2 linked regions of the Daphnia pulex genome follow. The protein of the gene in region 1 interacts with the protein of each later gene in a biochemical or structural test. Links are inferred from orthologs where the notes say so. Each region holds a gene or a part of one and is shown on either strand. Other genes may lie near its edges.

What was found.
Region 2: the proteins of elongation factor-like GTPase 1 (region 1) and ribosome maturation protein SBDS-like interact in a biophysical measurement, tested with the Homo sapiens proteins (2 studies listed by BioGRID and IntAct, with this or other methods). The link is inferred for Daphnia pulex from reciprocal best matches to the Homo sapiens genes EFL1 and SBDS.

Annotation. Positions count from the first base shown.
Region 1 is NC_060017.1:4,208,286-4,212,863, reverse strand, and holds the start of elongation factor-like GTPase 1, read left to right. Parts: upstream 1-1,459; 5' UTR 1,460-1,575; coding exon 1,576-1,643; intron 1,644-1,708; coding exon 1,709-1,804; intron 1,805-1,882; exon of another isoform or gene 1,883-1,935; intron 1,936-2,028; coding exon 2,029-2,187; intron 2,188-2,255; coding exon 2,256-2,407; intron 2,408-2,481; coding exon 2,482-2,689; intron 2,690-2,749; coding exon 2,750-3,090; intron 3,091-3,159; coding exon 3,160-3,347; intron 3,348-3,466; coding exon 3,467-3,775; intron 3,776-3,837; coding exon 3,838-4,140; intron 4,141-4,203; coding exon 4,204-4,578. Other genes in the region: flocculation protein FLO11-like, read left to right, coding at 1-231. UniProt on the Homo sapiens protein: GTPase involved in the biogenesis of the 60S ribosomal subunit and translational activation of ribosomes.
Region 2 is NC_060020.1:5,634,301-5,637,620, reverse strand, and holds ribosome maturation protein SBDS-like, read left to right. Parts: upstream 1-1,250; 5' UTR 1,251-1,304; coding exon 1,305-1,435; intron 1,436-1,497; coding exon 1,498-1,828; intron 1,829-1,888; coding exon 1,889-2,053; intron 2,054-2,115; exon of another isoform or gene 2,116-2,343; coding exon 2,344-2,472; 3' UTR 2,473-2,559; downstream 2,560-3,320. Other genes in the region: RING finger protein 37-like, read right to left, coding at 1-503, 806-1,017, 1,111-1,166; ubiquitin-protein ligase E3B-like, read right to left, coding at 2,603-2,775. UniProt on the Homo sapiens protein: Required for the assembly of mature ribosomes and ribosome biogenesis.

The sequences.
Region 1 (4,578 bases):
CCGGAGGTATGTGTACGAGCCGGTCTCTTCCGTCATCCGTCAGACTGTCAAAAGTTCTACGAGTGCTACTGGGATCGCTGGATTCACCAGTACACAGTTCACATTTTCAAATGCCCCGTTCACCTTGTGTACGATGACTACATCACTGCCTGCAATTGGCCGTTGGACGGACCCGCTTGTGTACCTCATGAAGCGGTCAAGCTGTACCCACAGCTCCTGTCTACCGTCTGATGAGGTTAATTTTCCCATTTATTGCTCTTCCACAGGCATTACCTTATTGTGCAGCAAACGAAATTAATTTTTTATTTTCTACAAGAGTAGGGTTTAATATAATATACACGAGTAGATTTACACACATAAGCCCAGCTGCAGTGAAACAATGGAATGTTCCTTTTTTTTAGGATTGTAATTGGTTTCCTATATTTAAAAATCGTATGTATCTCAAAGAGATGGTTGGCGATTAAATGGTTGATTGTATTGATGATGCCAACATTCATTGTTTCACTTTGCTTTCCAAAATCCTATTTACAAAGCGAAAAAAATTATGATTGATCTGTAAGCCTCCACTTCTATAATTCCCAATCACTTCTATAATTCTTGACAAAATGAATCTGACATAGGTCACAGACTATTCCAGCATTGCTTTTCTTTTCCCTTTGGAGTTAATATATATAATAAATATATGGAAATGTGCGTAACTATTATGATCATTATCATATTTAATTTCCCCCTTGCTTCGGGTATTTGTGGCCTTTCCTCAATGAATAAATGTGTAATCTTTGATATATGAATCGATAAGGTGCGAGACAACTATTTCGAACTTGCCCGAGTCACATTTACTATGCCGAAAGGTTAAAAAAGGATTGTCAACATGTCTATAAAAGTTTCATGCTTTTCCAACTACGAAATAGAATGGTGAAGTAAGTGCTTTATCTTACTTTCTTTTGTGTGCACTTTCGGACGAGTTAAATGCATAAATTCTTCATGGGTATTGTATGTATAGGTACAAAGCTTTCTATTTTATAATACACAATATAAATAAAACGGTACATCCGGCATACTTAATGAGACATCAAATTAGAAATTCATTTCTAAAAATTTGACTTGGCTAACGTCCGAACTCGTCGATTCGGCAAAAAAATGGGCTGCCGAATCGACATTTTGCCGAATCGCCTTTCCAATTCGGCAAAATTTCCTGATTGTTTGTAAATGGTACACATTCACATTTAGTTGAACTACAAACTACCAAAAAATTAATAATAAATAAAGTACACTCAATATCCAGGTAAAATAAACAAAATAATACAATTTTTTTTTCACCCTTTCATCGAACTGGCATCGGACGTTAGCCAAGTCTAATCCATTTCATATTTCGTGCCGATGAGTTGCAGAAAAATTCCGCGCAAGTTTAGTACGCGCATTTTAGTTACGCCGGTTATGTGTAATGCTGTGGTGTAATGTGTTATTGTGTACTACTGCTAGTCTGTCTGCTACAGGCATGTTATTAGGTAAAGCTGCATGGTTCTAAACTTGTAATCTAGTGCCTAAGTTTGTTAAACCAGAACCTTCAGCACCATGAAGCAATTTAATAGACAGAGGATAGGTGAACTTCAAAACAATCCCTTGAATATCAGGAATATCTGGTAAGTTATTTGACAATATTAAATAATCATAAATCTCTACACAACTTGAAATTTTTTTCATCCAGTATAGTGGCCCATGTAGATCATGGAAAAACCACATTAGCTGACTCACTTGTTGCCTCCAATGGTATCATATCTCAGAAATTGGTTGGTAAATTGAGGTATGAATATTTTAATGTTATCTGGGTTTTCTATTTCTTTGACCACATCAAATGTTATGATTTTCATTCATGCTTCAGGAAACTGACTTCTCTTTAAGTTATCGTTTGGTTTTATTATGTGCATAACGCAGGTATAAATAGTGTTGTTAGAATTTGCTTAGTTGTAAAAAATAATGACATTTTTGTAAGAATAGCAGCTAGATTTAATTTTGAAATGTTTCCAGATACATGGATAGCAGAAAAGATGAACAAGAAAGAGGAATAACCATGAAGAGCAGTAGTATTTCGTTATTACATACACATAACAATAAAGAATTTTTGGTGAACCTTATTGACAGCCCAGGGCATGTGGATTTCTCTTCAGAGGTATCAACAGCAGTGAGGTAATATGCTAAAAAAATGTAAAAAATTAATAATTTTGGCTTGAATTTTGGTTTGAATTTTTCTGAAGGTTGTGTGATGGTGCAGTTGTTGTAGTAGATGTAGTTGAAGGTGTATGTGCCCAAACAAAAGTGGTGTTGAAACAGGTATGGCTTGAACACATAAAGCCAGTCCTTGTGTTGAACAAGATTGATCGTTTGATAGTAGAAATGAAAATGCAACGTAAGTATTTTAAAACATGCTTAAATAGTTAAATATCAGTGACAAGTTTTTCTAATAGCTTATTATCTAACCAGCCTTAGATGCTTATATCCGTATGGTACAATTACTTGAACAAGTAAACGCTCAAGTAGCAGAACTCTTCACTATCGATGTAATGAGTAAAAAAGAAAATAATACGGATAGCAGCTCCGGCTTAGAAGAAGCAGACGATTCCAACATTTACTTTGCTCCAGAACAAGGCAATGTTGTTTTTGCAAGCGCGGCCGATGGTTGGGGATTTTCGTAGGTTTCTGACATGACCTTATTATACGCTTGATTAATTTATTTTTCTTCCAATCGTAGAATACGAGATTTTTCACGAATGTTTGCTTCTAAGCTTGGGCTACATGAAGAAGAGCTCCAACTTTCATTGTGGGGTGATAACTATTTCAATTCCAAAACGAAAACTGTTGTAAAAGGGGCACAAGAGAAAGCAAAAAAGCCATTGTTTGTCCAAGTTGTTTTAGAGAATTTGTGGTCCATTTATGATGCAGTCGTTGTGCGTAAGGACAAAATTATGACTGAGAAAATAGTTCAGAGTCTTCAGTTACAGATGGCCCCTCGAGATCTCAAGCATTCCGATCCGAAAGTGCAAATACAAGCCATACTCAGCAAATGGCTTCCGCTATCTGAGAGTGTACTTCGTAAGTATAGATTACATTTTACAATTCCTAAATTTAAAAAAAATCTTTTAAATCCGAAATTACATGAAGGAATGGTTTGCGAAAAATTACCTAGTCCGTCTGACATAACCGATGCGAAAGCTGAAAAGCTTATGTCTTCACTGTCAAAACCATTTTGTTTACTTCCTGAAGCTACACAGCAACTAAAAAAGGCATTCGTAGCATGTTCTTCTTCCAGCGATGCACCTGCAATCGCGTTTGTTTCAAAAATGATAATGGTAAAAGAACGATTCTGTAATCAATATTAAATTAAACTTGAACAATTTAGACGTGTGTGATAGTGTAAAATAATTGAATATTTGAAAAGATCTGTGATAAATTTTTGCTTACAATCTAGGTGGATCGACAATGTTTGCCCAAGAGTAAAGTAACACTTTTAACTTGCGAGGATATTGCACTTCGCCGGCAGCAAGTCAGACAGAAACTCGCCGAACTTACTCTACAACAAGAGCAAGGAAAAGTTTGTGAAGTTGAAGAACCAGTAAAACCAAAAGAAGTAATTGAAGAAGCTCCTGTTTTCGTTGCTTTCGCCCGTGTCTTCAGCGGAACCCTAAAAAAAGGACAGGAATTGTACGTTTTGGGTCCAAAGTATGATCCCATGGAGTGCCCGACGGAGGGCGACATTGATCCCAGCTTGACTTTAAAAGTAAGTTCATTTGCGATAGAAATGAAAGAATGATTAACATTTTCATTATTCTATGAATTCAGGATTTGAAAAGCGGCCATCACGTTACTCGTGTCAAAATTGGGGATCTGTACCTTATGATGGGTCGGGAGCTGGAAACTTTGGAGAGTGCTCCAGCTGGAAGCGTGGTCGGTATAGGTGGTTTAGAAGAGCATATTCTTAAATCAGGAACTCTAAGCTCTACTCTGACTTGTCCTGCCTTCACTGAACTGTCTCAAATGGTTGTGCCTATTGTGCGCGTGGCTGTAGAACCCGCACGGCCTAGTGAAATGCCTGAACTCATTAAAGGTCTTAAACTTCTAAACCAAGCTGACCCTTGCGTTCAGGTAACTTCTTTCATTTCCAATAACATTAAACGTGTAGTGCGTCTAACCTTTTCTTAATAACAGGTGGTACTGCAAGAAAGTGGAGAACACGTATTAATCACCGCTGGTGAAGTCCATTTACAACGATGTCTCCGAGATCTTAGAGAATCTTATGCAAAAATTGAAATTAATGCATCACAGCCTATTGTTCCATTCCGCGAGACTATAGTGGCCCCTTTGGAACCCATTGATAATGACAGCGCTGGCCGCGTTGAAGTAAATACTTCAGGAAAGCGATTTTCGATGCGTTTACGAGCCGTATCACTTCCAGAAGAAGTCACCGCTTTGCTAGAAAAGCACGTTGACATAATTAGAACCATGAGTCAAACTCGATGCGTAAATTCCCTGGAAACGACAGCGATCGAAGACGAATTGAATGAAAAGCTCATCTTACAATTG
Region 2 (3,320 bases), on another chromosome or scaffold:
TAAACGGACTGGCATGGACATTATTTCGCACGTCAAGCCATCAAGGAATTCTTCGGGGATTTCAAAATCATCTTCAGCCGCAGCACCTGCAATTTGACTGGCCTCGGTGTTAGTGTTAGTGCCACTTTTGCGGGCATCAATCACGTCAGGCCTATTACGGGAGCAGAGAGTTTTCGGTTGGTTGTTATCGTACCACTTGGATAGAACAGTTCTTGCTAGCGGAGCAGGGCAAGAGTAATCCACATACCCCCATACAGATAAGCTCCCAAGGGCTGGTATAGAAGAGCCAGATGTTTTAACAATTCTGATTCGCAGGCTCCAGACAGACGACAGTGACTTGTTCATTCGACCGTTTATGTCTTGCCTGGCAAAATTTTCTGCAGGGAGTGATCTACATGAAGCAGAATGTAGAGCACTAACTATGTAGACCCCCTTTTTATCACAATCCCAATAGTACTTCCCAACCTGGTTAAAAATCCCATAGTTGAATGCATCATATCCACCTGTTAAAAGATAGAAAAAGAACCTCCTTTGAAAAAATTTCCAATCTGGCCATAAACATGTGTTCAATCTGTTTGACACAGTTACTAATGACGCTTTATACATCCCTCAGACACTAAATTATTATTTACTACACCATCAGAAAACAACCCACATAAAAGATGTTCTCTTCAATACATTCTGATCTATGAAGGTCAAATTCTACATCCTGCTACAAGAACCAAGGCTAAAACATGCAAGTCACTAATAAAACAAACTTATACCACTTATACTATTTCCAAAATATCTTTGCCACTTCTCTTACCTGATTGTTCACATTGAACGAAGATCTCACATCCTGTAGATTGTTGAGAACCAACTCTGGAATTGACCGAAATGCAGCATATCTTGACAGGACATGGAAATTGAAGTATGATATCAACTGGAGGGCGCACAAAAGAGTCAGCAAGAAAACCTCGATTTCTTGAGGTGAGATCATCAGATATTAGATTTTCAATTTTGTAATTATCAGCCATCCTACAAGCAAAAGCAAGAAAATTTATGTTATTTTCTGCAATATTCTTTTAGTTGAGATAATATTATAACTATTAAATAAAAATTATTACTGACACTTGACTACACAAGATCCGAGATCCCAAATATTCATGGCAAAAGTTAACAGCCATTTAACAGCAGACAGCACACGAACAAATGTTCCGTGAATCTTTCAAACTTCAAATGACCATGCCCCAAGTTTTGTTGTTTCGTCTGCTAGTCATTCTATCTTTTTTTGTCGGCCACGCTTGTCACACACACAAGTCGAGATGTCTAAAATATTTACCCCAACAAATCAAATTCGTCTAACAAATGTAGCAGTAGTACGAATGAAAAAAGGTGGTAAGCGATACGAAATTGCGTGTTACAAAAATAAAGTCGTATCTTGGAGAAATAAAGTGTAAGTTTGATTTGAATTATATTGTAATTTTGCTTTTGATATCTAAAGTAAATTCCCTATAGTGAAACAGATCTCGACGAAGTTCTTCAAGCAAGAACGGTATTCTCCAATGTTTCCAAAGGCCAAGTTGCTAAAAAAGAAGATTTGATATCTAGTTTTGGAACGGAAGACCAGAATGTCATCTGCCAAGAGATTCTTGCAAAGGGAGAACTGCAGGTGTCTGAGAAAGAGCGTCATGTTCAACAAGACTCCATGCTAAAGGAAATTGCCACAATGGTGTCAGATAAATGTGTTAACCCTGAAACCAAAAGACCCTATCCTGTAACCATGATTGAAAAAGCAATGAAAGACATCCATTTCTCAGTAAAGCCCAACCGAAATTGTAAACAACAGGTTGGTATTATAGCTAATCACCGTTTTTTAAAGTTCTAAAATTATGTTTCTACATTTTAGACTCTGGAGGTTATTAAGATGCTGAAGAGTCACATGCCAATTGAGAGGGCTCATATGAGGTTAAGAATTTCTGCTCATAAAGAAGGTAGAAAACTCAAAGAAAAGCTGTCAAAATTGTGCACTAGCATTGAGTCTGAAGAATGGGAGGACAGCACCCTTATTTTGGTAAGCCTGAGTTTAAAATACACTTTTAAATTATAGATTTTTTTTTTTTAATTTAAAAACAATTTATGTAGAACCTTTTTATTTATTATACAATAGTTTTGGTTTGTATTATTTTAGTCGGTGATTCAATTATATAGATTGTATACAGTAGAAAGCGCATTCTAAAAAAGCTTACACTTGCAGGAGAGACAAGCTGCATTAGAAATAAGCAAATGTTTCAATGTCTCTATTTGTTAAAATTTAAATACGCTCAATGATGTGATTCCTTTTTTTTTTTTTTTAAATAATAGGTATGCTTGATCGATCCGGGTAATTTCCGCGAAATTGAAGATCTGGTCAAGTCCGATACAAAAGGTCAAGGTCACATGGAATTGCTTAATTTAAAAGAAGTAACGGAAGGAGAAGAAACGGTAGAATAATTATTTTCCACGCTGTCAGTTGTCGCGTAAGGAAAATATACTGTTTGTTTTTTTGGTGTCAGGCGATCGCCTTACCTATTTGAAAAACGACTGATTTTTTAATTTTTGTTTTAACACGAGCAGAGGTGATTCAAGACAGTTCGAATCCCGTGTTGCTAGTGATGGCATAACGGAGTTTCTCCTTCAACGTACTTCTGCGCTGGTAGTTTGGCAGTTTCAGCAAATTGAAGCAAGTAGAAGACGTTGGCAGTCGGTTAATGGGATCTCGCTTTCGAATGGTAAAGAAACCTCGAATAACGCTTCCTGAAAAAGAAATAGCACAAAAGGATCAAATAGAATTAAGGTTTTTGAGTTTTGACAAAAGAATCGAAAACCTAGCTGGTGGTGACGGGGCAACTTAACCGTTATGATGGGAAACTATCATCGTGCCAGTTAAAAAAACGTCGACAGGATTAGTCAAATCTAGGTAGCTGTTAGGCCGGAAATGGGGAGGGGCAATATAAGAAAGCAATTCAAGCGCTCGTGTTTCTATGATAGGTCTGTTTTCAACAGGCTGTGGTCAGATACTGAATTAGGTCAGTGGCCATGAAAAAAAAAATGTAGAAACACGAATAATAATTTCATGGTTCCTTTTGAACGGCTGCAGAAACTGTCCACGCCATTAAAAGTTCAATACTTCACGCCCATAAGTGGCTTGACTCGACACGGATTAAAATGCACAACGACTTTCTTGCTCAGTGTTGAAGGGTATAGCAAAGCTCCAAAGGAAAGGAGTTTCGGTCACGCTTGGCAAAGCTTACTTTCTGGCAGGCTATCGCCGCAACCAAATAAAAAAAAGGGTTAAGAAC